Linked DNA regions of Macaca mulatta. The protein of the gene in region 2 purifies or fractionates together with the protein of the main gene of each other region. This does not show direct contact. Links are inferred from orthologs where the notes say so. Each region holds a gene or a part of one and is shown on either strand. Other genes may lie near its edges. The genes, in order: CCT6A, TUBA1B and HDAC6.

Region 1 (10,249 bases), on a different chromosome or scaffold from region 2:
AACAACCTGGTTTTTTTTTTTTTTTTGATAACGGAGTCTTGCTCTATAGCCCAGGCTGGAGTGCAGTGGCGTGATCTCCACTCACCGCAACCTCCGCCTCCCGGGTTCAAGTGATTCTCCTGCCTCAGTCTCCTGAGTAACTGGGATTACAGGCGTGCAGCACGATGCCCAGCTAATTTTTTGTATTTTTAGTAGAGACGGGATTGCACCATATTGGCCAGGACGGTCTCAATCTCTTGACGTCATGGTCCACCCACCTTGGCCTCCCAAAGGGCTGGGATTACGGGCATGAGCCACTGCGCCCGGCCATAACCTGCATTTAAACATAAGAAACTATCAGGGGGCCGGGCGCGGTGGCTCACGCCTGTAATCCCAGCACTTTGGGAGGCCGAGGCGGGCGGATCACAAGGTCAGGAGATCGAGACCATGGTGAAACCCCATCTCTACTAAAAATACAAAAAATTAGCCGGGCGTGGTTGTGGGCGCCTGTAGTCCCAGCTACTCGGGAGGCTGAGGCAGGAGAATGGCGGGAACCCGGGAGGCGGAGCTTGCAGTGAGCCGAGATCGCTCCACTGCACTCCAGCCTGGGCGACAGAGTGAGACTCCGTCTCAAAAAAAAAAAAAAAAAAAAAAAGAAACTATCAGGCCAGGTGCAGTGGCTCATGCATTTAATCCTAGCACTTTGGGAGGCCAAGGCAGGTAGATGACCTGAGGTCAGGAGTTTGAGACCAGCCTGGCTAACATGCCGAAACCCTAACTCTACTAAAAGTACAAAAATTAGCCCAGCATGGTGGTGGGTGCCTGTAATCTCAGCTACTCCGGAGGCTGAGGCAGGAGAATCAGTTGAACCCGGGAGGCGGAGGCTGCAGAGAGCAGAGATAGCGCCACTGCACTCCAGCCTGGGCAAAGAGCGAGAGCGAGACTCCGTCTTTAAAAAATTTGAAAAAAAAAAAATCATAAGGAAACATCAACTAACCCTTAGGTAAGGAACAGTCTGTAAAATAACAGGACAGTACTGAAAAAAAATGCCAAGATCATTAAAGACTGAAAAATTGCAGAACTGTTCCAGACTGAAGAACGTGACAAGTAAATGTGAAGAGTAATTCTAGATAAATAGAATCCTGGGCCAGAGAGAGAACATTCATGATATAATTAGCAAAATTTGAATGAAATCTATAGATTGGATTCTGCATCAATGTTAATTTCTTATTCCAGGGTTAAATGTGATGTTTACAATAGAAGGATCTGTGGGTAGAGTATGGGAATTCTTCTTACTGTTTTTTACAAATTCTTTTTATGTTTGAGACAGGTCTCGCTCTATCACTCAGGCTGGAGTGTAGTGCTGCGATTCTGGCTCACTGCAACATCCGCCTCCCAGGTTCAAGCAATTCTGCCTCAGCCACACAAGTAGGTGGGAATACAGGCATGCGCCACGACACCTGGTTTTGTTTTTTTTTTTTGCTTTAAATTCAGGGAAACGTGCACAATGTGCAGTTTTGTTACACAGATATACATATGCCATGGTGGCTTGCTGCACCCATTAACCCATCCTCTAGGTTTTTTTTGTTTGTTTGTTTTTGAAAGAGTCTCACTCTGTCGCCCAGGCTAGAGTACAGTGGCACCATCTCGGCTCACTGCAAGCTCCACCTCCTGGATTCATGCCATTCTCTCACCTCAGCCTCCAGAGTAGCTGGGACTACAGGCGCCGGCCACCATGCCCAGTTAATTTGTTTTTTGTATTTTTAGTAGAGACGGGTTTCACCACGTTGGTCAGGCTGGTCTCGAACTCCTGATCTCGTGATCCGCTCACCTCGGCCTCCCAAAGTGCTGGGATTACAGGCGTGAATCACTGTGCCTGGCCTTTTTTTTTTTTTGAGGAGTCTCGCTCTGTTGCCCAGGCTAGAGTGCAGTGACATGATCTTGGCTCACTGCAACTTCCATCTCCAGAATTCAAATGATTCTCCTTCCTCAGCCTCCTAAATAGCTGGGATTACAGGCATGCGCCACCACACCCAGCTAACTTTTTATATTTTTGGTAGAGATGGGGTTTCACCATGTTGGCAAGGTTGGTCTTGAACTCCTGACCTCAAGTCATCTGCCCACCTCGGCCTCACGAAGTACTGGGATTACAGGTGTGAGCCACTGTTCCTGGCCTTTTTTTTTTGAGACAGAGTCTGGCTCTGTCACTCAGGCTGGAGTGCAGTGGCATGATCTTGGCTCACTGCAACCTCTGCTTCCTGAGTTCAAGCAATCCTCATGCCTCAGCCTCCCTAGTAGCTTGGATCACAGATGCACACCACCAGGCTAGGCTAATGTTTGTATTGTTACAGAGACGGGGTTTCACCATGTTGGCCTGGATGGTCTTGAACTCCTGACCTCAAGTGATCCGCCCGCCTCGGCCTCCCAAAGTGCTGGGATTACAAGCATGCGCCACCATGTCTGGCCTCCTCATAACATTTTTAACAGCAGTTATAATAAATCTGAATGCACACCATGTAATGCCTATGGAACTAATAACTCATCTTCTATTGTGCAGTGCTACTAGTCACATATATAGATGTTTTTGTGATTCTCAAATACACAAACCCACCTAAAAGCATCATATATCCAGATGTTCACTGCAGCCTGAATAGCAGATTAGGAACAAGTTAAACATTAGTCAGTAGGTGACCAGTTAGTTGTATCATTCTTTTTGAGACAGGGTCAGCTCTGTCGCCCAGGCTGAAGTGCAGTGGCAAGATCATAGCTGACTGCAACCTCCGCCTCCCAGATTCCAGCGATCCTCCCACCTCAGCCTCCCAAGTAGCTGGGACCACAGACGTGCAGCACCACACCCGGCTAATTTTTGTATATTTTGTATAGATGGAGTCTCGCTATGTTGCCTCGACTGATCTTGAACTCTCAGGCACAAGTGATGCCCCTGCCTCAGCCTCCGAAAGTGCCGGGATTACAGGCGTGAGCCACTGAGCCCTGGCCCCTAGTTGTGTCATTCTTACAAAGAACATCACGCAGCTGTTACCGAGGACTTCCTATTAGTCTTGATATAGCACAATCTCCAAGACACTTAAAGTATAACACACCCTACAGTGTGTATTATGAATTGCCATTTGTGTGAGGAAATGATTATATTCATATATAAGTTTATAAATTCAGAAAGCATTCCGAAAATTCATAGAGTATCCAGGGGTAACTTTGTCTCTAGTGTTGAACTAGAGGTGGGAGGAAGATTTAATTTCCACTACATGCCCTTTGGTGCCTTTTGAATTCAGAACAATTTCCATTATTTATTAAAAATAAAATATCAGCCGGGCGCGGCAGCTCACGCCTGTAATCCCAACACTTTGGAAGGCCGAGGCGGGAGGATCACTTGAACTCAGGAGGATCACTTGAACTCTGAAGTTTGAGACCACCCTGGGCAACATAGTGAGACCCTATGTCTACAAAAATAATATAAATAAAGTAAAATATCACGTGTTACGGAATCCCTGGTATTTGGCGGGACACTGGATACTGGAAACAATTGTGGAGCTCTTTGGAAATTTACCTTAATAGGGAGTCCTCTCAAAGGCAGGAATGACTCTACAAGGGTGAGTTTTCAAATGTGCCATGGGGGCCTCGGGCCTCAGCAGCATCCAGAGCCCTACGGACGGGCAGGTTCTTACGTCTCAACTCCCATCGCACCAGTTCTGCAGCTTTCTAAAGGTATCCAGCACTTTCTACCTTGCATTCTATCTTCATCTTCGCTAGGCCTCACAGCACCGCATGATCCCGGGGCAGGGTGCTTATCAGACTCGCGTGTGTCTCCAAGCCACCTAGGGCACCGTCAAGCACAGGGTCCAGAAAGCTCCAATGAAAGAGATAAAAGCGCGAACCCGGGGGGCGGAGCTTGCAGTCAGCCGAGATCGCGCCACCGCACTGTAGCCAGGGCGACAGAGCGAGACTCCGTCTCAAAAAAAGAAAGAAAGGCATAAAATCAGCAAAGAAAGGAGACTGAGGAGCAAACCGCGAGAGTAGAGGCGGGAGGAGGCCCACCCTACGCCCTGCCCCCGCGAAGCACAAGCCCCGCCTGCGTCCTGGGCTCCCGGGTCCACAAAGCTGGGCCCCGCTGAGCTGCGACACCGGAACCAAGGAGCACGGTCGGCCGGGAATAGGCTCCTCCCGTGCGCAATGACGCCGCGGCCGCCGCGCGAGGGGTGGGACCGTAGGCGCCGTGCAGCCACGGACCAATGGGCGGGCGCCGGACGACCTGTGGTCCAATGGCGGAGGCGCGCGGGCACGCTGGGGGCGGGCCGGACGCGCCGACTTTTCCAGAAGACCCGGATAGTTCCTCCTGGCCACGCCGCGCCGGCTCTGGGTTCTCAGCCTCGTTTCCTTTTCCTCCGCTGGAGCAGCGATGGCGGCGGTGAAAACCCTGAACCCCAAGGCCGAGGTGGCCCGAGCGCAGGCGGCCCTGGCGGTCAACATCAGCGCGGCGCGGGGTCTGCAGGACGTGCTAAGGACCAACCTGGGGCCCAAGGGCACCATGAAGATGTGAGGCGGGGCTGAAGGGAGGGCCGGGTGGGCACCGCGCGCCGCCACGCACCTGGCTGGTCCGGGACCACGGGCTGGAGCCCGCCGCCTCGGGGCTCCGCAGCCGCCCTTCTCCGCGTCCTTCGGGGTCGGTCCTGTTCTCTGCTAAGCCCCACCGTCCCAGCCATTTCTTCCAGCGTTCATGCCGTCTCTGGGGAGAACAAAGCGTCTCTAGAGCGCGGCGTTCCCCTCCCTTTGGGGCTTCCAGGCACTCTGAGGACTCGGCACAATCTCTGCGGGGACGGGGTGGGCACTACACCTGTTCCTCCAGCCTGCGGGAGATAACTAGCCACATATCCCTGGCTCCGTAAGATCTGGGAAGAGCCCGTTTTCTAATGGGACTTTTAGTTATCGTTGAAAAGTCACTTCTGATTCATTTCTGTCCCTTAAACAGGCTCGTTTCTGGCGCTGGAGACATCAAACTTACTAAAGACGGCAATGTGCTGCTTCACGAAATGGTGAGAGGTGCTCTGCTCTAGGTCAGAAAGGTCTTGATTTTCCGTAGATTGTTTGCTTTGTGGAAAGATTTGCAGTGTCCGTTTTCAAGGCAGGAGAACATTTAGAAGTGGCATGTAATCAGTAATAGTACAGTGCCTGGAGTCTGACAGCTCTGCCTTTGAATTCCTGCTTTTTTGCTATTCACAGTCTGGGCTAAAGGACTGTAATTGTATATTAAAGTTAATTATTATAAAATTTGAAAAATTGAGAGGTTGACACAATCACATGGGCAAAATGCATGAGGATGATTTTTCTTTTTTTCTTTTTTTTTTTTTTAGTTTTTATTAGACGAAGTGTTGCTGTGTCGCACAGTGGCACAATCTTGGCCCACTGCAACCTCCACCTCCCGGATTCAAGCGATTCTTCTGTCTTAGCCGCCCAAGTAGCGAGGATTGCAGGCTCGGGCCACCACTCCCAGTTAATTTTTGTATTTTTAGTAGAGAGAGGATTTCACTGTGTTGGCCAGGCTGGTCTTGAACTCCTGACTTCAGGTGATCCGCCCGCCAAAAGTGCTGGGATTACTAGGCGTGAGCCACCGCACGCAGCCGGTTTTTCTCTTTTTAAAACAGCAATTTCTCCGTTAGGTCTCATCTGCATCTCCAAGTGGAGGGGATTGAAATCTGTCTCTTTGCAAGTCTTAGGGATGGAGAATATGAGATTATTGGGGGGAGTATGCGTTTTACTCATCCCCTGAATTCCCAAAACTTAGCAGTTCAAGAACAGGAAATGATTTCCTGCTGATTTGAGTTCAGAATAATACTTAGGGTTTTACTAGTAGCGTACCAAGCTATCAACATCCAAATGAAATATCTTTAGTAAGGACTTGGTAACCTAGGAGGTGTAGTGTTTGTTTTTAGTGGGCTCAATGGTGGCCCGTGTTGGAAAAGTGGAGCATAGTTAAACTTGATGTCGGAATTGTTTGGGGGCTGGGTGTGGTGGCTCATGCTTGTAATCCCAGCACTTTGGAAGGCTGAGGTAGGTGGCTCATTTGAGGCCAGGAGTTCACGACCAGCCCTGGCCAACGTGGTAAAACTCTGTCTCTACAAAAAATACAAAAATTAGCCGGACGTGGTCCTGCACGCCTGTTGTCTCAGCTACTCCAGAGGCGGAGGCAGGAGAATCGATTGCTTGAACCTGGGAGGCTGAGGTGTCATTGAGCCGAGTTTGTGCCACTGCACTCCAATGTAGGTGACAGAGACTGTCTCCAAAACAAAACAAAAAATTATTTGGGTTTTAGTGTGTGAGAAATACAGCATAAGTAGAGAGAAGCACGTTGAACATTTACAATTTAAGAAAAAATTATAAAATGGACACACACAACCACCACTGTAGCTAAGAAATAAATTGTTGCTACCACCTCAGAAGTCTCCTCCCACTGGAATCTCTCTCCAATCTCCAGAAGTCTTTCAGTTTTCTTTGAAAAAATTACAAACCTACAAAAATAATTACGATGTGTGTGCCCTTTAGGAGATACCTGACTTATTCTCACTAGAGCCATACACTTGCCATAAAGAGGCAAGGATGTAAAATTATGTTTTACTGTTAACTGGTAGCTCTGTCATTTTGAGTAAACTTTTACTTAGCCTCAAGCTTCCTCATCTGTAAAGTAGAGATAACCTGGGAAATAAATTACACATGAAAACGTTTCAATCATAATTGCATGTGCGTGATAGCTAATCGAAGTAATTTGTAGCCAAACACTTGGGTAGCTTTTTCAAGTAGATAGCACTTAAAGAGGCCCTTCCTACATTTTGTTTGTGTTATATTTAGACTGCTTCATGTTGTTTTAAGTGATTCATTCTTTTTCTACTTTCAGCAAATTCAACATCCAACAGCTTCCTTAATAGCAAAGGTAGCAACAGCCCAGGATGATATAACTGGTGATGGTACGACTTCCAATGTCCTAATCATTGGAGAACTACTGAAACAGGCGGATCTCTACATTTCTGAAGTATGCACAACTCTTGTTTCTGTAATATTTTATTGTATATAGGAAGTGTCTGATACTTATTTATACAAATTGATGTGCTGTTAATAGCTGAGGCCATACAGTAGAACTAGGGGGCTTAAATCTGGGTCTTTGTCCTGGTCTAAAACAAATTGTGACCTTGGACAGGTTATGGAACCTTTCTTGGCCTGAAAATAATTTTGTAATGAAGTTGCATTGCCTATGTGATTTGTATCTGTCCTTAGTGTAGATTAATAATTTAGATCTAAAAGTGGAATGTTTAGGACTAGGAATATTTGTTAGGAAAAAAGCATCCAAAAGCTTATATTTGGATAAATTCCACTTTTTTAAGCCCTGACTAGTTCCAAGGTTAAAACAAACCTCAGTGAGTATGAATCTGTTGTCAGAATTTCCTGGAAAAAGAGAGCAGTCTTTATTAAATAATTAGTAAATGATGTGAATTAGTTTGAGATTACCTATAGAAAAGAGAATAGTCCAAGCGTGGTCGCTCACACCCGTAATCCCAGCACTTTGAGAGGCCGAGGTGAGCGGATCACCTGAGGTCGAAAGTTCGAGACCAGTCTGACCAACATGGAGAAACCCCATCTCTGCTAAAAATACAAAAATTAGCCGGGCATGGTGGCGCATGCCTGTAATCCCAGCTACTTGGGAGGCTGAAGTAGGACAATCGCTTGAACCCAGGAGGCGGAGGATGTGGTGAGTCGGGATCGTGCCATTGCCTCCAGCCTGGGCAACAAGTGCGAAACGCCGTCTCCAAAAAAAAAAGAAAGAAAGAAAAGATAGAATAATGTTACCATCTGCGAGTCCTTGGTTGGGACACAGTGTCAATTTTGAAATGATTCAGAGTGGTTTGCACAGTGAATACCCAAGTGTGCTTTATAGTTTCCTTGGCTTTGACCCTGTGCTAGAGCATTACCTGTTCTTCTCCTCTGCATTGAAAGGAATATTTATCCTTTTAAATGTATTCTGAAAGCCAGCACATTATATTACCTCGTGTTCAAAGGTATGATGATCCAGAATACCCCTTCAGGAATTAACTGAACTTTGTCAGGAACTGTGGTTGTACCTACTTGATGCAAGTGTTAATGTGTGTTTATTGTAGGGCCTTCATCCCAGAATAATCACTGAAGGATTTGAAGCTGCAAAGGAAAAGGCCCTTCAGTTTTTGGAAGAAGTCAAAGTAAGCAGAGAGATGGACAGGGAAACACTTATAGATGTGGCCAGAACATCTCTTCGTACTAAAGTTCATGCTGAACTTGCAGATGTCTTAACAGAGGTATATATTAAATGTTGTCTGTGTCTGGTATAATACACCTATATAGAAAATCTCTGATAGTAGAAACATGAATATAATTCCCAATTTCAATTACAAGGTGCTGTATAGGTTCATTTTTGGGGCAATAATACCTAATTTGTGTCTCTAAAATGAGGAAATTCAAATAATAGTATATGTAACTGGGTTATAAAAGTAAAATTGAGGCTTTCATTAAAAGGTTTGTAAAGTGGAGATTTTGTTACTAGAAAGCTTCCAAGTTACCAGTATTTTTAATGAAACAGGAGAATTGTTAATGTTAATTAATGTTAATGTTTGGGAATTACAGATTGAGATTTCAGAAATGTAAATGGCTTCAGTTGTTGCTGTTTACATATATTCTGTTTGCTCATAGAAAAAGACTTAAATCAGTGTATAATTGTAAAATGAAACCTTCGGAAAAGCAAGATGTTTCTGCTGCTGCAAATTGAATTTACTTAATGGTTATGCTCCTCCAATTGCAGGCTGTAGTGGACTCCATTTTGGCCATTAAAAAACAAGATGAACCTATTGATCTCTTCATGATTGAGATCATGGAGATGAAACATAAATCTGAAACTGATACAAGGTAGGTGGTAGAATACTGTGAAATACTAATGATCAGGCATGGGGGCTTACTCCTGTAATCCCAGCACTTTGGGAGGCCGTGGCGGGCAAATCACCTGAGGTCAGGAGTTCAGACCAACCTGGCCAACATGGAGAAACCCCGTTTCTATTAAAATTACAAAAATTAGCTGGGTGTACCGGGCGTGGTGGCACGCGCCTGTAATCCCAGCTACTCGGGAGGCTGATGCAGCAGAATCGCTTGAATCTGGGAGGTGGAGGTTGCAGTGAGCTGAGATCACACCATTGCACTCCAGCCTGAGTGACAACAGTGAAACTCCGTCCCAAAAAAACAAAAAATAAACTGTGTTTAGAAATTTAGGGGTGCTTTGTACAATATATGGTTGGCTTTTTTTTTTTTTTTTCCTAAGACCGAGTCTCACTCTTGTGGCCCAGGCTGGAGTGCAGTGGCACAATCTCTGCTCAACTGCAAGCTCTGCCTTCCGGGTTCACGTCATTCTGCTCCAGCTTCCTGAGTAGCTGGGACTACAGGTGTCCGCCATCACGCCTGGCTAATTCTTTTTGTATTTTTAGTAGAGAAGGGGTTTCACCATGTTAGCCAGGACGGTCTTAATCTCCTGACCTCGTGATTCGCCTGCCTCGGCCTCCCAGAGTGCTGGGATTACAGGCGTGAAATCGTTGGCAATTTTTAAAATATCTTTGGGTATAAAATGTTGTATATTTACCTGAAGATGTAAGCTGGATAAATTGCTAGATGAATATTGTTTTTACTTTTAGTAATATTTTCTCCTGAAATAAGGTGAATGTAATGTTATATTTATGGTTAGAGTGATTCTGAAAAGTGAATGACATCAGTCATTTGGCATTTATTGATGTGCTAGGTACGAAGCATAATGAGAAGTAGTAGAGAAATTTAAAAAATTTTTTTCAAAGACTTAGAAAATGTTTGTGTTTTTCTTTTTTGTGTGTGTGTGTGGAGAATGGAGTCTCCCTATGTTGCCCGGGCTGGTTTTAAATTCCTGGGATTAAGGCATCCTCTCACTTCTGCCTCCCTAAGTGCTGGGATTACAGGCGCTTGGCAGAAAACATGTTTTTAAAGGACGTCATCACAGTTTGACAGCCTACTAGTGAGACTATCTCTGCAGACTTTTCTGTACAGCACGGGATCTTCAAGTAATTCAAGAAATAAGCTGGACACGGTGGCTCATGCTTGTAATCCCAGCACTTTAGGAGGCCGAGGCAGGCGGATCATGAGGTCAGGAGATTGAAACCATCCTGGCTAGGAGATTGAAACCCCGTCTCTACTGAAAATACAAAAAATATTAGCTGGGCATGGT
Region 2 (10,347 bases):
AGTACATGTTCAGTTCAGACACAACTATCCATTTTTCCAAACATATATTTTGAGATAGGGTCTTTCTCTGGCACCCAGGCAGGAATGCAGCAGCACAATTACACTGGCTAATTTGTTTTGGTTTTTGTTTTGTAATGACAGGGTCTCCCTAGGTTGCCTAGGCTGGTCTCAAACTCCTGGGCTCAAGTGATCCTCCTGCCTTGACCAAAGTGCTGGTATTATAGGCATGAACCACCAGGGCCGGTTGCTTCCAAGTATTTTAAATCCAGTTAGTCAAATCTAGATATGGAAACCACAGATAGGGACGGCTGACATTTTGTAAATTTGTAGGATTTATGGGCTAAAAAAAAAAAAAACTGGGAAAATTGTAGACTTCCCTACTTTTTTTTTTTTTTTTTTTTTTTGAGATGAAGTTTTGCTTTTGTTGCCCAGGCTGGAGTGCAATGGCGCAATCTTGGCTCACTGTAACCTCCTCCTCCCAGGTTCAAGCAATTCTCCTGCCTGTCTCCCGAGTAGCTGGGATTACAAGGGTGAGCCACCACGTCCAGCTAATTTTGTATTTTTAGTAGAGATGGGGTTTCTCCATGTTGGCCAGGATGGTCTCAAACTCCTGACCTCAGGTAATCCGCCCGCCTCCGCCTCCCAAAGCGCTTGGATTACAGGTATGAACCACTGTGCCTGGCCTCTTCTCTGCTTTTTCAAAAAAGCCTCATGCATTCTTTCAGTCTTCTTGGTCTTTAGCAGCCATCAGGGTCTTTAGCAGCCACAATTTTCCTGTACTTTACGGATTTGAAATCTACATTTTCTCCTAGGTTAAATCCTCTATTTACATTCTCTGTGCCTACAAGTCTGTTACATGTAGCCAAAATATTTGAAAGGATGTAAACCATGCCAAATGCTATACGTTTTTATCCTAACCTTTACAAATGTTGCCACTTTGTACAAATGTTTGCCACATGTAATGTAGTCCTCTTCCACCCATGCATATCACTTATTGTTTAGCCTTCTTTCTTAGCATGACTTTTATTGACTACCATGAATTCTGGTCCTTTTTCCTATCACAATAGGGCTGGAAACTGGTACATTGACAGCTGGAAATCCTCGTGCTGGGATTAGAGGCATGAGCCACCATGACCAGCCAAAAATCACTGTGAAATTTCTTACACTAACAAGGTTAGCAGGCCACTTTAAACAGCAGCAACTTAGCGGATATTCAAAACGTATACTTCCCATACATAACTCATTAGTAACTACCCAGTCATACTCTGAAGAGCTAAATGAGCTCTAGATTAGCAGAATGACTTTCATCAGTTTCCCCGCCCCCTACGCCAAGGGATGAGGTGGTAAACTAGTCTGAGAATCTAGGGCTTCTGCCTTTCTAGTCCCTTGAGCTTCCTTTTCCCTAGAGGTGCCTGCACAGGAAGTAGGATCCCTGACATCACCAGCAAATTGCAGACTCGATACTCCAAATATAGATGAATCCAAAAACCAAGGCACTTTTAGAAAACACAGGAAACAAAGCTTTTGATGTTAATGACTTTACTTTGAGACACGATGGAAAAATATTATAGGTACACATGGAAAAGACATGATCACCAAGTGAAAACAATCTAACCAGAAAGCTTTAATGTCTGTCAGCTAAGCTGAAGCTGAAATCCTGGGAGCATGACATGCTGCAGTGCCAAAAGGAATGGATAATTAGTATTCCTCTCCTTCTTCCTCACCCTCTCCTTCAACAGAATCCACACCAACCTCCTCATAATCCTTCTCAAGGGCAGCCATGTCTTCACGGGCCTCTGAAAACTCGCCTTCCTCCATCCCCTCACCCACATACCAGTGAACAAAGGCACGCTTGGCATACATCAAGTCAAACTTGTGGTCCAGGCGAGCCCAGGCCTCGGCAATGGCTGTGGTGTTGCTCAGCATGCACACAGCTCTCTGAACCTTGGCCAGGTCTCCACCAGGCACCACAGTGGGAGGCTGGTAGTTGATGCCAACCTTGAAGCCAGTGGGGCACCAATCCACAAACTGAATGCTGCGCTTGGTCTTGATGGTGGCAATGGCAGCATTGACATCTTTGGGAACCACATCACCACGGTACAACAGGCAGCAAGCCATGTATTTACCATGGCGAGGGTCACATTTCACCATCTGGTTGGCTGGCTCAAAGCAAGCATTGGTGATCTCTGCTACAGAAAGCTGTTCATGGTAGGCTTTCTCAGCAGAGATGACAGGGGCGTATGTGGCCAGAGGGAAGTGGATGCGGGGGTAGGGCACCAGGTTGGTCTGGAATTCTGTCAGGTCAACATTCAGGGCTCCATCAAATCTCAGGGAAGCAGTGATGGAGGACACAATCTGGCTAATAAGGCGGTTAAGGTTAGTGTAGGTTGGGCGCTCAATATCGAGGTTTCTACGACAGATGTCATAGATGGCCTCATTGTCTACCATGAAGGCACAATCAGAGTGCTCCAGGGTGGTGTGGGTGGTGAGGATGGAGTTGTAGGGCTCAACTACAGCTGTGGAAACCTGGGGCGCTGGGTAAATGGAGAACTCCAGCTTGGACTTCTTGCCATAATCAACTGAGAGACGTTCCATGAGCAGGGAGGTGAACCCAGAACCAGTTCCCCCACCAAAGCTGTGGAAAACCAAGAAGCCCTGAAGACCGGTACACTGGTCAGCCTGTAGGGAAATAAAAAAAATAATATTTTAATGCCAAGAAACATTCTCTTAGAATTTCTATTTAAAATTGTTAGATTATGAACCATCTCATTGACATAAGCATAAGGAAATGGGAAAACAAACATATCCACAAACTGTCCATAACCTAGGGGACTATCTGATTTAGAAGTCCAATGAACATAGTAAGCAGTCTATTCCACATTTTGGTAGGTGCTAAAGAATGAATGTTGTCAGTCACTCCACCCAACTTGCACTGGTACCATCTCGCCGCATTAAATGCATATTTATATATTGTGCTTACCAGCTTGCGAATTCGGTCCAACACAAGGTCAATGATCTCCTTGCCAATGGTGTAGTGCCCTCGGGCATAGTTATTGGCAGCATCTTCCTTGCCTGTGATGAGCTGCTCAGGGTGGAAGAGCTGGCGGTAGGTGCCAGTGCGAACTTCATCTGGAGGAGGAGGGAGAGAAGGATGGAGGGAGTGGGTGAGTGACCAGCGGAGCCCCCAGGACAGACCTCCTGTCCCAGCATCCTGGGATCTCACTTGGGTTACTGAAGTCAACTCACCAATGACCGTGGGTTCCAAGTCTACAAACACGGCCCGGGGCACATGCTTGCCAGCGCCCGTCTCACTGAAGAAGGTGTTGAAGGAATCATCTCCTCCCCCAATGGTCTTGTCACTTGGCATCTGACCATCGGGCTGGATGCCGTGTTCCAGGCAGTAGAGCTCCCAGCAGGCATTGCCAATCTGGACACCAGCCTGGCCAACGTGGATGGAGATGCACTCACGCTGTGGGAAGGAAAAAGATATCGCAATTTAATCTATTGGTGGCTGTCAGGTGGAACAAAATACTCATGCAATCTTTATTTTTTTAGAGATAAAGTCTGTCACCCAGGCTTGAGTGCAGTGATGCCGTCTAGGCTCAAGGCAGCCTAAACCTCCTGGGCTTGAGTCATCCCCCGACCCCAGCCTCTGGAGCAGCTGGGACCACAGGCACAGGCCACTACGCCTGGCTAATTTTTTCATCTTTTTTTGTGGAGATGAGGTCTGGCTGTGTTACCTAGGCTACTCACGTAATCTTAAAACAAATTTCCTTTTTTAAAGCGACGTAAGACGTACTACTCTTCTGAGAACAGCTTATCGTCTACATTGCTTTTAATGACTGTTACCTTCCCATCCTAAACTGGGAAGGCCTCCTTCCAGACCAATACAGCTCAGTCACAGCTTCCTCCTTTGGAGGACCAAGACAGGAAGGTAGGCATCCACCCAGCGCTCAGGCCCCAGAATACCACTTTAGACTAGGTGGCCACATTTCCGGGCAGCTCCTAGCACAGGAAGCACGTGGCCAGACCAGCGCATAAGAAATGTCGGTCCGCAGGGACATGGGGCGGGGCTCTGCGGCACAGGATGAATGCGCAATTCAGGGCGCGCGCTCTCGCGCCCCCCGGCGGCGCTGCAGAGGCACGAAATGGCCACGTCTGCAAAGGCGCTGCCCAGGCCGCCCATCCTCCCTTGCCCGCCGGCATCGGGCTGGGCCTAACACCTCCACAGCAGTCTGAGCGAAGTTGGGGATTATCGGCGGCCCAGATCTGGGTCAAGATCCGATTTCCGTTCCCTCAAAATCCCTCACTGCCACCACCTGCTCCCCTGAATTCCTAACGCAGCAGAGAGACAGGTGGCCTCTACAGACTGTTGTGGTCGAACTGTCCTAATTCACTGGTGTATAGCGGTACATTGACAGGGCCCTTCCCCACATTCCTCTTATTGCTTTCATTAAAAAAAGAAAACTCAGGTTAACAGGAGACACGCCCTGTAGCCCTAGTCTCGCCGCGACCCAGAGCGCATGCGCAGACTGCAGTGGCGGTTTCCCGCCCAGGAACGGCGTGAAGGTAACGGTCGCGCGTGCGCGCTTTTGTCTCCAGCTGCTTCCCACCCCCGCTTTTCGCGCTCAAGAGGAAGTGAAGGCTGGAAGATGTTAGAGTCCGCGCGCGCGCGCGTCCACCCAAAGCGGGGGAAGGGCATGCGCTGGAAAGGACTGCGGGGACTCGAGGGACCGCTCCCAGTACAGAGTTACGCGCTGAAAGAGAGCTCCGGATACGGCAGAAGGCAGCCGGAGCCCCCTCATCCCTTCCAGAGTCCGATAAGAAATCCTGGCGCCCCTCGACCTTTCCGGGCCCCAGCTATTTACACACACCGAGGTCTCACCACTCCCGCCCTGGCCTCTCGCCTTGTTTTCCGCCCTCCAAAAGGACGGCTCTGGAACCAGACCTCCCCGGCTGTATACAGGGTCCCCGCGCCCCGCCAGCTCGCTTTTCCCTGCTTCCCTGAAAGCAGCCGGGAGCCGCGCGGCTCACTCACCATAGTGGCTAGGGATTAGGAGGCGAAGGCGGAAGGAGCAGACACCGGGTCCCGGTTACCGTCCCCGACAAGCTAAGAGTCGAGGTAAGTAACGCACTGGGGCGGGACCGGCGCTGGAGCCTCTTAAGTAGCGGCTTTGGAGAGGGGGCGGGCACAGGCGGTGTCGCGGCCGCGGGCCCCTCCTCCGGCCCCGTGCGCCCACTGGGCGCCCGGCCTGGCAGCCGCAGAGGCGGGCTCCGGGCCCCGAGCCCCCTCCCTTCGCGCGGCCGCGGGGCGGGGTCCTCCGCGCCTGCGGGCCGCGCGCGCCAGTGCTGCAGTGTGCGGCGCATGGCTGCGAGGGCCTGGCGAGGGGCGGGCGCGAGTCGGAAAGACACCGACCAGGGAATGGGTGACGAGGCTTGACTTAATTCGGAGGAAGCCTAGGACTTGAGAGAGCCATACAATTTGAAAGACGAAGCACCGTGAAATGCAGAAAGTTGTGGTTCGGATAGCTCAGCTGATTAATTTCGTGTTGCCACAGTTTGTCAGTGAGTTTTGCCTTTTTATTTTCGCAGTTCCTTTTAAGGCAGTGCATTCTGTACTTACCTGATAATGTGAAAAACGCGAGCTTTAGAAAACCGAATAGGTGTACATGGTTTACTTTAATGACTTGTTCTCCAAAGTAAGAGTACCAAATGCTGAAAGCAAGTAGATATTCAGTCATTCGAAGAGTGCCCAAGCATTTAACATTGAAGCTGTTAAAAGGGCAAAGTAGGCCCCAATTTTAGATCTAAGCCATCAATTTTATGAAACAGTTCTAGGGGCTTTTTGAAAAGGAGATTTAAAAACACATTTCAGTGGTGGTAGCTGAGTTGAAGAAGTGAGGAAAGAATTGGATAGGGAGGAAATAAATTGACACTGAAGGATGTTAGGAAGTAGAGATTCCTTGTGCAACTTAAGAGTTTTGTAAATAAGACTGCTTGGCCTTGTGTCAAGATACATCAATTGGTTATAGCTTAGTGCTTGGAGGCCCACATTATAGGAGTAGACTAGGTCTCCCTCCGCCCCGCCCCTGGAAAATCTATTTCAAGACGATAAACCACATTGCTAATCCTTGGAAATGCAGAAGGTGGTTAGGTTTAAAATGTGGCTTTAAAATGGTCCTAGCCGAAACGTATTGATGTTACTATTCAGAATATCTGCCCAGTATAGGAGGAACAAAAAGGTTAAACCTAAAACACTAAAAATTCATAGTTCATATTCAGTTATTAGCCTATTAAAATTTGGTGCAGCCTTCATCCTTCGCACCGAATTTCAGACAAATAGCAAATTTATGTGGTTAATAAGTGTATGTTGTAAGGAGTTATATATGTGTATGTCTATATATGTGTGTCTCCACCCATCTGAACCTGACCTGCAGACCAAGAGGTTCTTGTTTATTTCTGATAGTTTTGGTAGTCTTGTTAAAGGCATTTGATTCAAAATGCAAATTTGCACACATTTTTCCAACTGGGTAGAGGAGGCAGGAATATATTTGAATATTGTTCTCACTTATTTTGTTCCTCTTCTTATTCTTAAAAAAAAAAAAAAATTAAGCCTGTCAATTTTAGCAGTGAGGGATGGTATACTAATTTTAGTGACACTAATATTAATAAGTTCTGATAACCCACTATCATCGGACCACCCCCACTCTTATTCTTAAAACGAATCTGAAAACCATAAGCTTGCTTTAACGGGAAGAATGAATGTTAGGGAACCACCCTGCTGAACTCCATTTTGCTGTCGGCTCTGGATAAAGCTATTTTATCCAGAAAAGCTATCTCTGGGCAAATGATTTGAATAGTTTAGTAACCGCAATAGGTTTCTGCTAGAACCATTTTGAAGCCACCCTTTAACCCTAACCACTTTATGTATTTCCAAGGATTAGCGATGTAGTTTATGGTCTTGGGATAGATTTTTCTGGGGGAGGGGAGAACCTCCCTTCTAGCTCTCTGCAGATTATCAGAGCCACCACTTCAGGGATTTCCTCCCAGGGGCCTATATGTCTCCCCAGATACCTTCCTAAAACTATTAGCTTTTATCTGTGTATTCCCTGTTGTGAATGAGTAAGTATTTGAGGGCCTTTTTTTTTTTTTTTTTTTTTAGGTCTTGATTATACCTCAGGTTTCACAGAGTAATCAAACTAAAAGAGAACTTCTTTTTATTTCATTTTATTTTTTTGACCGAAACTCCATCTCCAAAAAAAAAAGGGGGGGGAATTGTTATGTGATATTGGGACATCTGAACATTTTGTTGTCATAGGAGTTTGTCCTTGCCAGCTTTTTTTTTTGTTGTTGTTGTTGTTGTTGTTGTTGTTGAGATGGAGTCTTGCTCTGTCACCCAAGCTGGAGTGCAGTGGCACACTGCGAACTCCGCCTCCCAGGTTCACGCCATTCTCCTGCCTCAGCCTCCCTAGTAGCTGGGACTACAGGCACCTGCCACCACGCCCGGCTAATTTTTTGTATTTTTAGTAGAGACGGGGTTTTGCCGTGTTAGCCAGGATGGTCTCGATCCCTTGACCTCATGATCCACTGGGATTATGGGCATGAGCCACCGTGCCTGGTCCCTTGCTGGCATTATTAAACTGCTTCCTTAGCTGTAAACATCTTATGACCACGGGTTGTATCTGGTAAGGAATATGCTTTGCTAGTTTACATTTGGAATTGATTTTGAAATTGTGTTACCCTAGCCCTTTTTTTTTTTTTTTGAGACAGAGTTTTGTTTTTGTCGCCCAGGTGGGAGTGCAATGGCGCAATCTCGGCGCACGGCAACCTCTGCCTCCCGGGTTCAAGCGATTTTTCTGTCTCAGCCTCCCAAGTAGCAGACATTACAGGCACCTGCCACAACGCCCAGATTATTTTTGTATTTTTAGTAGAGAAGGGAGTTCACAATGTTAGCCAGACCAGTCTCGAACTCCTGACCTCAGGTGATCCGCCCGCCTCGGCCTCCCGAAGTGCTGGAATTAAAGGCGTGAGCCACCGTGCCTCGCCGTGTTACCCTAGCTCTTCCGTTCCTGTTTCCCTAACATAATACCTCCTCTACTCTTCTCCTCTACTTCTCTAATCTTAAGGAGAGATGAAGGGTGAAGGTCATTTTTTGTAACTTCTTCCTGCTGACAGTGGACATTGATCTTTGGGACAGGATTCTCTCCTAGGAATTTGCAGTTGGTGGCTGGGTGCCGTGGCTCACGCCTGTAATCCCAGCACTCTGGGAGGCCGAAGCAGGCGAATCACAAGGTCAGGAGGTCGAGACCATTCTGGCTAACACAGCGAAACCCCGTCTCGACTAAAAACATTAAAAAATTAGCTGGACATGGTGGCGGGTGCCTGTAGTCCCAGCTACTCAGGAGGCTGAGGCAGGAAAATGGAGTGAACCCAGGAGGCGGAGCTTGCAGTGAGCCCAGATCAGGCCACTGCACACCACCCTGGCTAACACCATGAAACCCCATATCTACTAAAAATACAAAAAATTAACTGGGCATGGCGGCACGCACCTGTAGTCCCAGCTATTATGGAGCTGAGGCAGGAGATTCTCTTGAACCTGGGAGGCAGAGGTTGCAGTGAGCCGAGATCACGCCACTGCACTCAGCCTGTAAGACAGAGTGAGACTCTATCTCAAAAAAAAAAAAAAGAATTTGCAGTTGGTTTCTAGGGAGCCACAGGAGGTCTGTGTTTGCATGATGTTCTGATGTTTTGTTTTTTTTTTTTTTTGAGAGAGAGTTTCACTCTTGTTGCCCAGGCTGGAGTACAATGGCACAATTTCAGCTCACCACAACTTCTGCCTCCCAAATTCAAGCGATTCTCTGCCTCAGCCTCCTGAGTAGCTGAGATTACAGACATGCGCCACCACGCCCAGCTAATTTTGTATGTTTAGTAGAGACAGGCTTTCTCCATGTTGGTCAGGCTGGTCTCGAACTCCCGACCTCAGGTGATCCGCCCACCTTGGGCTCCCAAAGGGCTGGGTTTACAGGCATGAGTCACTGTGCCCTGCCTTTGTATTTTTTAGTAGAGACGGGGTTTCTCCATGTTGGTAAGGCTGGTCTCAAACTCCCGACCTCAGGTGATCCACCTGGCTCAGCCTCCCAAAGTGCTGGGATTACAAGGTGTGAGCCACCACACCTGGCCGATTCTTTTTTTTTTTTTTTTTTTTGAGATGGAGTCTTGCTCTGTCGCCATGCTGGAGTGCAGTGGCAGCGATCTCAGCTCACTGCAACCTTTGCCTCCCGGTTCAAGCAATTCTCCCTTCTCAGCCTCCTGAGCAGCTGGGACTATAGGCACATGCCACCACGCCCAGCTAATTTTTGTATTTGTAGTAGAGACAGGGTTTCACCGTGTTGGCCAGGATGATCTCGTTCTCTTGACCTTGTGATCTGCACACCCTGCGATGTTCTGATGATTCAATGGGCATAGCCCTGCCCAGTACTGAAGAAGTAAAAATCTTTGGATGCCTGATCTGAGGGGCCTAAAGGCAATATGTCTTTATTTCCCAGGTCAGAAGTTGGTATGGATTGGAAGCCTTGTGCCAGCATCCTCTTTATGTTGGATTGTTGTAATCTAGTAGACACAAACTTCAAGAGGTTAAACAAGCAAGGGCAAAAGATTAGTAATAACAAGATAGTGATCAAAAGTCTTAGGAAGAGTAAAAACCAACTGATACTCAGAGGGTGCTTTTTTTTCCTTTTTCTGTTTTTTTTTTTTCTTCCCAGATGGGGTCTTGCTATGTTGGCCAGGCTTGTCTGAACTCCTGGCCTCGAGCGATTCTCCAGCCTTGGCCCCCCAAAGTACTGAGATTATAGGCCTGAACTACCAAGCCTTGTCTAAACTCTACTTTTATAGGAGTCTTTTTTTTGTTTTGTTTTGTTTTTGAGACATTGTCTTACTCTGTAGCCTACGTTGGAGATGGAGAGCAGTGGTATGATCACAGCTCACTGCAGCCTTGACCTCCTGGCTGAAGGAATCCTCCTACCTCAGCCTCCCAAGTAGCTAGGACTACAGGTGCCCAGGAAATTTTTGTATTTTTGTAGAGGACAGCCATGTTTCCCAGATTGATCTCAAACTCTCCTTGCAGACATTATTAAGCTGCTTCCTGCCAGGCGTGGTGGCTCACACCTGTAATCCCAGCACTTTGGAGGCGGAGGCAGGTGAATCACCTGAGGTCAGGAGTTCAAGACCACCTTGGCTAGCATGGTGAAACCCCATCTCTACTAAAAATACAGTAATTAGTCGGGTGTGGCGGCGGGCTCCTGTAATCCCAGCTACTTGGGAGGCTGAGGCAGGAGAATCAATTGAGCC
Region 3 (9,595 bases), on a different chromosome or scaffold from region 2:
TATTCTGTTAAACTCCAAAAGCTCTTTCTTCCTCTCTGTTTCTGTGCCCTCTCATTCCTGATCTTGTTTTTATAGAGTATGAATTAGAATTGCCAGCCGGGCGTGGTGGCTCATGCCTGTAATCTCAGCACTTTGGGAGGCCGAGGTGGGTGGATCACTTGAGGCCAGGAGTTCAAGACCAGCCTGGCCAACATGGTGAAACCCCATCTCTACTAAAAATACAAAAATTATCCAGACGTGATGGTGCGCACCTGTAATCCCAGCTACTCGGGAGGCTGAGGCAGGAGAATCACTTGAACACAGGAGGCGGAGGTTGCAGTGAGCCAAGATCGTGCCACTGCACTCGAGCCTGGGTGATAGAGGGACACCCTGTCTTTAAATAAAAAAAAAAAAAGAAGTGCCTTAAGTTTCTTCTGTTGTCTGAATTATGTCTCTTTATTCTGAGGCTGGTTGAATTATTTTTTCTTGGTCCTTCTCTTTTATGCTGATGGTTTCCCTCAAATGTCTAGCAATCCTTATTTGGCTATTTATACCCAAGAATGAAGGCCCATTGTAGGGAGCAGAGGACTACGCTGCTGCTGCGGTGTTTGTAGATCTGTTTTCCTGAAAGGCATTTCCCCAGAATGGGGACAGGGAATGTCCACTGACAGGTTGCAACGTTAGTGAGTGTGGGCAAGTACCCGGGCATTAGATGGGATCCTGCCAGATGTCAGAACAAAGGAGGCCTCTTCTTTGGGGTAGCATCTCTTTTCCCTCAGCCTTGCCAAAGGTGTGTCTGTTCTACTTACCTTTCCCAGTCTAGCTTTGGGCTTTGTTGGTCATCTCTACTGTTTTATTATGGTGGGTTTTTAATACTTCATTAATTTTTCTGGTTTTATCTTTATTATTTTTTTCCTACTACATTCTTTATTTTGTTCATTTCTGGCTTCTGGAATTGAATGCTTCAACATTTATCAACTCATTGGCCGATCTCATTTCATCTATAACTGTACCCACTGCCCTCTTCCTGTTTTCCTTCAAAGCTAATCCCAGATACCTACCATATAATTTCTCCTGTAAATATTTCAGAATGCATCTCTAAAACATAAGTATACTTTTTTAGAAAAGCATTACCTTAGTATCAATACCTGAAAATTAACAAGAATTATTTTCTCAATCTGCCAAGGGTCTGTCATTCAAAGAATTCTTTAATATCATTAATCATTCTTTTTGTTTGAATAAATGCATAGGAGGCTATAGCTGTGTGTTCTTTCGTGGGTACACTATTGACTACACACACAGATGTGAAACATTGTGTGCACATTCAGTGCATTCTTCCTTATAAACAAACATGTGTAAACAAACAAACAAAAAGAACATGTCCATACCCTTGAATCTCCCAGCTCCCCATCTCTCAGTCTCTGAACTCCAGCAGCAGGGAGACAAACTGGACAGTCCTTAAAATGCTGTTGTGAAGACAAGGAAAGCACATGATCTAAAACTAAGTAGTTAAACAAATAACTTTGGTGCATTGGTGATTCGGTGGGGCTCTTCAGAAGGGATTTTGTGTGCATTGACCTGGATCTGTACTGGATTTCTCCAGAAAAGAAACCTCAGGTTATCTTGGGTGCCCCCTTATCCTGCTCAGCATGAGACAGAGCACCCTGGGGCTCCTGGAATCTCAAAGTCTACTTTCTAGAAATTCATTGAAGTCTCTTATTCTCTGACATCCTTTCTTCCACTCTCTCTTTCTGGGTTGCTGTTTATTTACAATTTCTTTACTGTATTTTGACCGGGGTGGTAGGAGGGTGAGGTAAACCCGTGCTATCAGTCCACCATTTAACTTGAAGGTGGTTGAACTTATTTTGAATTTCCCTTCTGTTTTCTTTTTAAACTTAGCTTCCTTGAGTGCTAGTTCTGTTGTTTGTTGACTTTGATGGCTCTCTTTTAGAGTCAGCTTTCTTCAGATCTTTTCTTTTTTTTTTTTTTTTTTTTTTTTTGAGACGGAGTCTCGCTCTGTCGCCCAGGCTGGAGTGCAGTGGCCGGATCTCAGCTCACTGCAAGCTCCGCCTCCCGGGTTCACGCCATTCTCCTGCCTCAGCCTCCGGAGTAGCTGGGACTACAGGCGCCCGCCACCTCGCCCGGCTAGTTTTTTTGTATTTTTTAGTAGAGACGGGGTTTCACCGGGTTAGCCAGGATGGTCTCGATCTCCTGACGTCGTGATCCGCCCGTCTCGGCCTCCCAAAGTGCTGGGATTACAGGCTTGAGCCACCGCGCCCGGCCAGATCTTTTCTTTATTGCTGTCTTCCCCGATGATTTTTTTTTCTTTTTCTTTTCTTTTCTTTTCTTTTTTTCTTTTTTTGAGACAGTCACACTCTGTCGCCCGTCTCCCAGGCTGGAGTGCAGTGGCCCAATCTCAGCTCACTGCAACCTCCACCTCCTGGGTTCAAGCAATTCTCCTGCCTCCATCTCCCAAGTAGCTAGGATTACAGGCACATGCCACCACGCCCAGAAAATTTTTTGTATTTTTAGTAGAGATAGGGTTTCACCATGTTGGCCATGCTGGTCTCCAACTCCTGGCCTCTACTGATCCGCCCACCTTGGCCTCCCAAAGTGCTGGGATTACAGGTGTGAGCTACCGCACCCGGCCCCTGATGATAATTTTTATGTCCTACTGTGTTTCTCTTCCTCTAATGATTAACTTACCAAAAGTTTAGAACCAAGATTTATCTATCAATGTCAAAAATAAAACAATCATCCTCCACCCACTCAAGACCAGAGCTTTTGCATGTTTTTATTCCCAGATTCCAAGCTCTTTTCCCTCAATTTTAAGAATCTTTTTATATCACTTGCATTAAATTTCACAACTACATTATCAACACATTAAAATGTGACTCTTAAGTTTGTCTAGATTCAGTGCATACCACTATTTCTTGCATTTCCCTAAAAAAGCTGCCTTAGATCCTCTCTGGAACAAGGCAGGGGGTAAATGACCAGATAGAAGGATGGATGGATGATAGATTATTCATTTTGCTTTCCCCAGTCAGAAATAAGCCCTCCCATGGCCCCTTGCTGGGCTTTCTGTTAAAACACGTGCATCGCATCTTTTCAGTATCTATTTTGCATGTCGGTCCATCTCATCCCTCTGAGTGCTCACTCTCTTGCCTATAAAATAGAAGAAGTAGTAGAGGTGACCTGTAAGGCATTGGGGAGAAGGAATTGCCCTCTCACTGGCCTTGTGGCAGCCCCAGCCAGCACCCCGTCTCCAGTTCCACCCACAGAAGCAAGTCTCACCCCTTCCCCCCAGGTCTCTCTACTTCCTGCTAGAGAATCACCCAACTCCCCAGCCTGGCTTGAGGCTTTTTTCAGCCTTAGCTAGCTCCCTGCAGCTAAGAGCCCCATGCTCCATTTGGGACTCCAGTGTCACAGTGTTTGACCTGCTGTTACTACTACCTTTGTCATAGGGGCAGGTAGTGGGCAGACATGATCTAGAATACCCCACAGAGTCAGGAGCCCCCATGATCTGGGATAGACCCTAGAGCTGAGCCTGAAATTGGGTGGGCACTGAGGGGGCAGTGATGTTTGCTGAGGAAGAGGTTCTAGTGAGAGACTAAATGAATGAGTGAGTGAGGTAATGGATAAATAAAGATAAGAATGGATGAATGGTAAGATAATTAAATTGGTGACTGAATGTAAGGATAAATTAATGGAAGAATGGATTCATAGATTAAATAATTAATGGGGAAATTAATGAATGAGAGAATGAACGAGTGGTTGAATGGGGAAATGAGTGGTAGAGGAAACTGGCAACTGTTGGGTTGGGAGTGTCTATGGGGATTGACTCTTCTCCAACTCTCTTACCTCTTTTTCTTCTGCCCCCAGTGTCCTCTATTTCTCCATCCACCGCTATGAGCAGGGTAGGTTCTGGCCCCACCTGAAGGCCTCTAACTGGTCCACCACAGGTTTCGGCCAAGGCCAAGGATATACCATCAATGTGCCTTGGAACCAGGTCAGCATCCACCCACCCTTTGTCCCCAAAGTGAGGCCCAGCCCTGCCCTTCTGTCAGCAGCTCGGGACAGGTGGCTGAACATCCCCCACTACACTCCTGTGTCTGCAGGTGGGGATGCGGGATGCTGACTACATTGCTGCTTTCTTGCACGTCCTGCTGCCAGTCGCCCTCGAGGTCCTGGGGGTCTGGGGTGTGTTGGGGGAGAGGAGTGGCCTTGAAGGTTAGGCCGTGAGGGCAGGTAGCCTCATGGAGTCTGTTCCTCCTTCAGTTCCAGCCTCAGCTGGTCCTGGTGGCTGCTGGATTTGATGCCCTGCAAGGGGACCCCAAGGTAAGGCAGGCTCCCTGGGGCGGCAGATGGGCTGCACGGAGCCAGACTGACCCTCCATGTCCCCCCAGGGTGAGATGGCCGCCACTCCGGCAGGGTTCGCCCAGCTAACCCACCTGCTCATGGGTCTGGCAGGAGGCAAGCTGATACTGTCTCTGGAGGTGAGTGACTCACCTTCGTCCCTCAGCCTGTGGATCCTGGAGGGCTTAAGAACGAAGCTTTCAAGTCCAAAAGGAGTTCCTGGCCCAGCATTTCACTTACTAGCTGGACAACCTTGCATAAGTCACTTCACTTCTTTGTGCCTCCGCTTTCCTTCTGTAAAACGAGCATAATAATGGTAATCACCTCATATCATTGTCCAGTGAATTCAATGAGGCCCCCTTCTAAGTTCCTTGTTGCTTGACATTTGGTATGCACTCTCTTATTATTATCATCATTATTGTTATTCCCTGGTCATGTCTGGTCCTTTCCTGATCCCCCTTCACAACTCCTTGCCCCAGGGTGGCTACAACCTCCGCGCCCTGGCTGAAGGTGTCAGTGCTTCGCTCCACACCCTTCTGGGAGACCCTTGCCCCATGCTGGAGTCACCTGGTGCCCCCTGCCGGAGGTGAGCCCCAGTGGAGGAGGGGAAAGCGGGAGCCTCACTGCCTGCCCACATTCCTTGACCTCATATTTTCTCCCTGCCCTGCCCTGCAGTGCCCAGGCTTCAGTCTCCTGTGCTCTGGAAGCCCTTGAGCCCTTCTGGGAGGTTCTTGTGAGATCAAGTAGGAAGTGGGGTATGGGCCTGGTGTGGGGTGGACGTGGGATGAGCCCTGGGGCAGACTGTCTTCGGACTTTCTCTGACTTTACTGGGCTGCCTTGGAGGTAGAGGGTCAGGCCCTCTCTCTCCCTGGGCCCTGGTTTCAGGCCTCCCACCCCATTTTCTATTTGGGGTCACCTGAGTTCCAGAGTATGACGGGGATTCAGAGTGAGAGGGTAGGACAAACGTGGCCTCCCCCTTGTAGCTGAGACTGTGGAGGGGGACAACATGGAGGAGGACAATGTAGAGGAGAATGAGGAGGAAGGACCCTGGGAGCCCCCTGTGCTCCCAATCCTGACGTGGCCAGTGCTACAGTCTCGCACAGGGCTGGTCTATGACCAAAGTATGATGAATCACTGCAACTTGTGGGACAGGTAGGCATTTGGAGGGCTGGATGAGTAGGTGTTGGGGGTCCCTCCCCATCAGGCACTAAGCCCCTACCTCTCATTTCCCCACTGCTAGCCACCACCCTGAGGTACCACAGCGCATCTTGCGGATCATGTGCCGTCTGGAGGAGCTGGGCCTTGCTGGGCGCTGCCTCACCCTGACACCGCGCCCCGCCACAGAGGCTGAGCTGCTCACCTGCCACAGGTCAGACCCTGGTGCCTGGGGTGGGTGGCTTCCCAGGACTGTGGATGAGGTCTCAGGAGCTGGAGCTTGGGTTTCCCCTCCCAGGGAGCTGCTGCAGGACTTGAGAGGGGCTGAAGTTCCTGTCTTGCGGGTGGGTTCCAGGGAGGGGATGGACCCTCCTCACTGTCCTGCCGGTGCGCCTCTCTGTACCTCCAGTGCTGAGTATGTGGGTCATCTCCGGGCCACAGAGAAAATGAAAACCCGGGAGCTGCACCGTGAGAGTTCCAACTTTGACTCCATCTACATCTGCCCCAGTACCTTCGCCTGTGCACAGCTTGCCACTGGCGCTGCCTGCCGCCTGGTGGAGGCTGTGCTCTCGGGAGAGGTGTGTCCTCTGGGCTGGGGAGAGGAGGACCTGGGGAGAATAGAAAAAGAGGGCCACCTGCTGTTTCTGGAGGCTCTGAGAGAGTCAAGCAGGGCCTGAGGAAAGGGGCCATGGGGAGGGGCACAGGAGGGGGCGGGCCTAGAGGCTGCAGTAATAATGGAAGGAACTGGAGAAAGGGAAGGGTGGCCAAGTGCGGTGGCTCACATCTGTAATCCTAGTGCTTTGAGAAGCTGAGGTGAGCTCAGGAGGTCAAGGCTGCAGTGAGCCATGATTGTGCCACTGCACTCTAGCCTGGGCAACAGAGTGAGACTCTGTGTCAAAAAAAAAAAAAAAAAAAAAAGGTTGGGCACGGTGGCTCATGCCTGTAATCCCAGCACTTTGGGAGGCCGAGGCGGGCGGATCAAGAGGTCAGGAGATCGAGACCATCCTGGGTAACACGGTGAAACCCTGTCTCTACTAAAAAACACACAAAAAATTAGCCGGGCGTGGCGGTGGGCGCCTGTAGTCCCAGCTACTCAGGAGACTGAGGCAGGAGAATGACGTAAACATGGGAGGCGGAGCTTGCAGTGAGCCTAGATAGCACCACTGCACTCCAGCCTGGGCGACAGAGCGAGAAAAAAAAAAGAAGAAGGAAGAAAGGAAGGTGAGGGTGAGCTGGAGGGCAGGCTGTCCGATCTTAGCACCCTGCTGCTTCCTAGGTTCTGAATGGTGCTGCTGTGGTGCGTCCCCCAGGACACCACGCAGAGCAGGATGCAGCTTGCGGTTTTTGCTTTTTCAACTCCGTGGCTGTGGCTGCTCGCCATGCCCAGGCTATCAGTGGGCGTGCCCTGCGGTAAGGACTCCCTGGGGACCCCCCAAATCCTGATCCTTGTGGGGACCTGGATGCTCTCCCCAGCCCATTGCTTACTCATCATGCCCCATGGTCCAGCTCCCCAGGACTTCCCCAGAAAGAAGTAAGGGTACAGCCCTTACCCAGAGAAGGACTGAGGATGGAGCCTCTCAGTGCCTATTTAGATAGGACCCCCAGATCATATTACCTGGGTGCTTATAAAACAGGATTCAGGGTCCCACCCCAGCATTTCTGGCCTATAGCAGCTGCCTCGACAGAACCCAGGTCCAGGCTCCTGATGCATACTCCAGAAGACCCAAGAACCAGTCCCCAGCATTAGCTGCCCAAGGTGCAGGGTCCAGTTCCCTAGCAATGACCCAGAAGAGCCCAGGGCCCAGCCCCGAGCACTTGCTCAGGCCTACAGGGCAGCCCTCGGGAACCAGGATCAGACTTTTCTCCTTAACTGATAGGACTAGGGTCCTGCCACTCAGCACTAAATGCCCCTACAGACCCCAGGGGTCTGGCCCAGCCCTCTTCCAGGGGGTGAGTATCCTAGGTTACTGAGGTGCTGTCTTCTCCCCAGGATCCTGATTGTGGATTGGGATGTCCACCATGGTAATGGAACTCAGCACATGTTTGAGGATGACCCCAGGTAAGGGGCTGCAATCAGGGGCCGCAGTGTGATCAGGGAGGTGGGTGAGCACCTCAGGGGTACTGGAGCCCCTAACCAGCCATGGCCCCCTTCCTACCCCCTCCCCGGCAGTGTGCTATATGTGTCCCTGCACCGCTATGATCATGGCACCTTCTTCCCCATGGGGGATGAGGGTGCCAGCAGCCAGATCGGCCGGGCTGCTGGCACAGGCTTCACCGTCAACGTGGCATGGAACGGGCCCCGCATGGGTGACGCTGACTACCTAGCTGCCTGGCATCGCCTGGTGCTTCCCATTGCCTACGAGGTACAGCTCAGGATAGATCGCAGGATGTATGTGACATGCCTGTGCAGGTGGCAGCCTGGACCTGCCTCCTCAGCATGTGTGCGTCTGACTGCCAGGTGGCTGATGATATGAGACAGCCCATGGGTGATTAATGAGGCTACCGGGGCAATTGGTGACTGTGATCACTTTGTGTATTTGCCTGTGCACAGGTGACTATATGACTGCCTTCTCTGTGTGACACTATGTGGGTGACTATCTTGGCTGTGTGTGTGAGGGCCTTCTGACTATGCAGCAGTGGCCCGTGTCCTGGCTGGATCTGTGTTGTGTGTGTGCCATCACAAGTGCTTGAGTATGTGTGTGTGCGACTCTGTGCAGGCAGGTATTTCTCACCTTTTCTCTGTGTGATGGGTGTGATATTGTATGTCACTAAATGCAACCATCTCTGTGACAGCCTGTGTGGGACCCTCTGGATGTGAAAGGCTGTGTGTTACAGCAGTCACTGTCTGGCTGTCTGCCCTGGCTATTTATGTGTGTGTCTCTGACTGGGAGGTAGCTGCCTTCCCTCTGTGTGAGCTGGGGGGCTAGTGGCTTGCGTATGGCTGACTCTGGGAGGGAGGGCGGGGGTGTAAGCACCACTCTGTCACCCTGGGCGCTGATGTGCATCTTTGGATCTGCACGTGCGCGGGTGGCCAGGACAGCCTTCTGTATGTGTACAACTGTATGTGCAAGTAACCAGCTCTTGTGGACACACCAGAGTGCATGTCACCATTGTGGCTGTGTGGTAATGGCATGTGTATGTGACTCTGCAGGGTGGCTGTGGGTTATTGTCCTCTTTGAGAAACTATGTGTGTGTGTGTGTGTGTGTGTGTGTGTGTGTACATGACTAGTGCAGATATGTAGTACTGGTCTATATGGGACTGTGTGTGGCAGTACTTGTGGCTTTGTGTGACTATCTTCTCTGTGTGTGGCACTTGCATTGCCATCTTCTGTTATGGAAGTGTGCAAACACCTCTCTTTGACACTATGTATATAAAACCCTATATGTTGTGTATGTGTGTCCCACATTTGACCCTGGGGTGTGTGTGTGTAAGGACATGTCTCTGTCTCTCTGTTTTTCATGTCACTCTCTTGACATCTGAGTCTGTCTCATGTCTCATGACTATGTCTCATGTCCCCATCTGTCCCTTTCTACTGTCTCCAGGTCTCTAAGTCTGCATCTGTTTCTTCTGAGTCTGTATTTCTTTTCTTCCCCTCTTCATTTTCAGTCTCTGCTTCTGCATCTCCCAGTCTGCAGATCCTGTGTCTCCATCTCTCTGACTGGCATCTCCATGTCTTCATTTGTCCTTTTCTCCATGTCTCTGGGTCGCCATCACTTACTATCTACCAAAAGCCCCCACCCTCATGCTTATACATCTCTTCTCTCCCTGCCTCAGTTTAACCCAGAACTGGTGCTGGTCTCAGCTGGCTTTGATGCTGCACGGGGGGACCCGCTGGGGGGCTGCCAGGTGTCACCTGAGGGTTATGCCCACCTCACCCACCTGCTGATGGGCCTTGCCAGTGGCCGCATTATCCTTATTCTAGAGGTAATTCTCTCTTGGTCCCTCTTCCCACAGTGGGAGGGTAGTTTGGAAATGTTGGCACCATCACTCAGGACAGTTTCCTGAAATCTCCTTTGAGTGTCCCTGCCTGGGATTGTTGGCACATACTGGGTAGTAATAAGAATAACAGCAACATTAACAGCCTTAATTGAGTGCTCACTATGT

The links.
Region 1: the proteins of TUBA1B (region 2) and CCT6A purify together in Homo sapiens (affinity purification with mass spectrometry; 3 studies listed by BioGRID and IntAct, counting the BioPlex papers as one, with this or other methods). This does not show direct contact. The link is inferred for Macaca mulatta from reciprocal best matches to the Homo sapiens genes TUBA1B and CCT6A.
Region 3: the proteins of TUBA1B (region 2) and HDAC6 purify together in Homo sapiens (affinity purification with western blotting; 4 studies listed by BioGRID, with this or other methods). This does not show direct contact. The link is inferred for Macaca mulatta from reciprocal best matches to the Homo sapiens genes TUBA1B and HDAC6.

The regions. Positions count from the first base shown.
Region 1 is NC_133408.1:72,117,315-72,127,563, forward strand, and holds the start of CCT6A (T-complex protein 1 subunit zeta), read left to right. Parts: upstream 1-4,309; 5' UTR 4,310-4,393; coding exon 4,394-4,530; intron 4,531-4,963; coding exon 4,964-5,027; intron 5,028-6,883; coding exon 6,884-7,018; intron 7,019-7,886; exon of another isoform or gene 7,887-8,020; intron 8,021-8,138; coding exon 8,139-8,312; intron 8,313-8,812; coding exon 8,813-8,916; intron 8,917-10,249. UniProt on the Homo sapiens protein: Component of the chaperonin-containing T-complex (TRiC), a molecular chaperone complex that assists the folding of actin, tubulin and other proteins upon ATP hydrolysis.
Region 2 is NC_133416.1:56,291,049-56,301,395, forward strand, and holds TUBA1B (tubulin alpha-1B chain), read right to left. Parts: upstream 5,135-10,347; 5' UTR 5,042-5,134; coding exon 5,039-5,041; intron 3,470-5,038; coding exon 3,247-3,469; intron 3,130-3,246; coding exon 2,981-3,129; intron 2,680-2,980; coding exon 1,699-2,679; 3' UTR 1,523-1,698; downstream 1-1,522. UniProt on the Homo sapiens protein: Tubulin is the major constituent of microtubules, protein filaments consisting of alpha- and beta-tubulin heterodimers. Microtubules grow by the addition of GTP-tubulin dimers to the microtubule end, where a stabilizing cap forms.
Region 3 is NC_133426.1:48,890,091-48,899,685, forward strand, and holds part of HDAC6 (protein deacetylase HDAC6), read left to right. Parts: intron 1-3,861; coding exon 3,862-3,988; intron 3,989-4,097; coding exon 4,098-4,163; intron 4,164-4,257; coding exon 4,258-4,317; coding exon of another isoform or gene 4,318-4,326; intron 4,327-4,385; coding exon 4,386-4,475; intron 4,476-4,814; coding exon 4,815-4,921; intron 4,922-5,010; coding exon 5,011-5,078; coding exon of another isoform or gene 5,079-5,090; intron 5,091-5,318; coding exon 5,319-5,487; intron 5,488-5,575; coding exon 5,576-5,704; intron 5,705-5,899; coding exon 5,900-6,068; intron 6,069-6,766; coding exon 6,767-6,900; intron 6,901-7,480; coding exon 7,481-7,549; intron 7,550-7,660; coding exon 7,661-7,853; intron 7,854-9,265; coding exon 9,266-9,415; intron 9,416-9,595.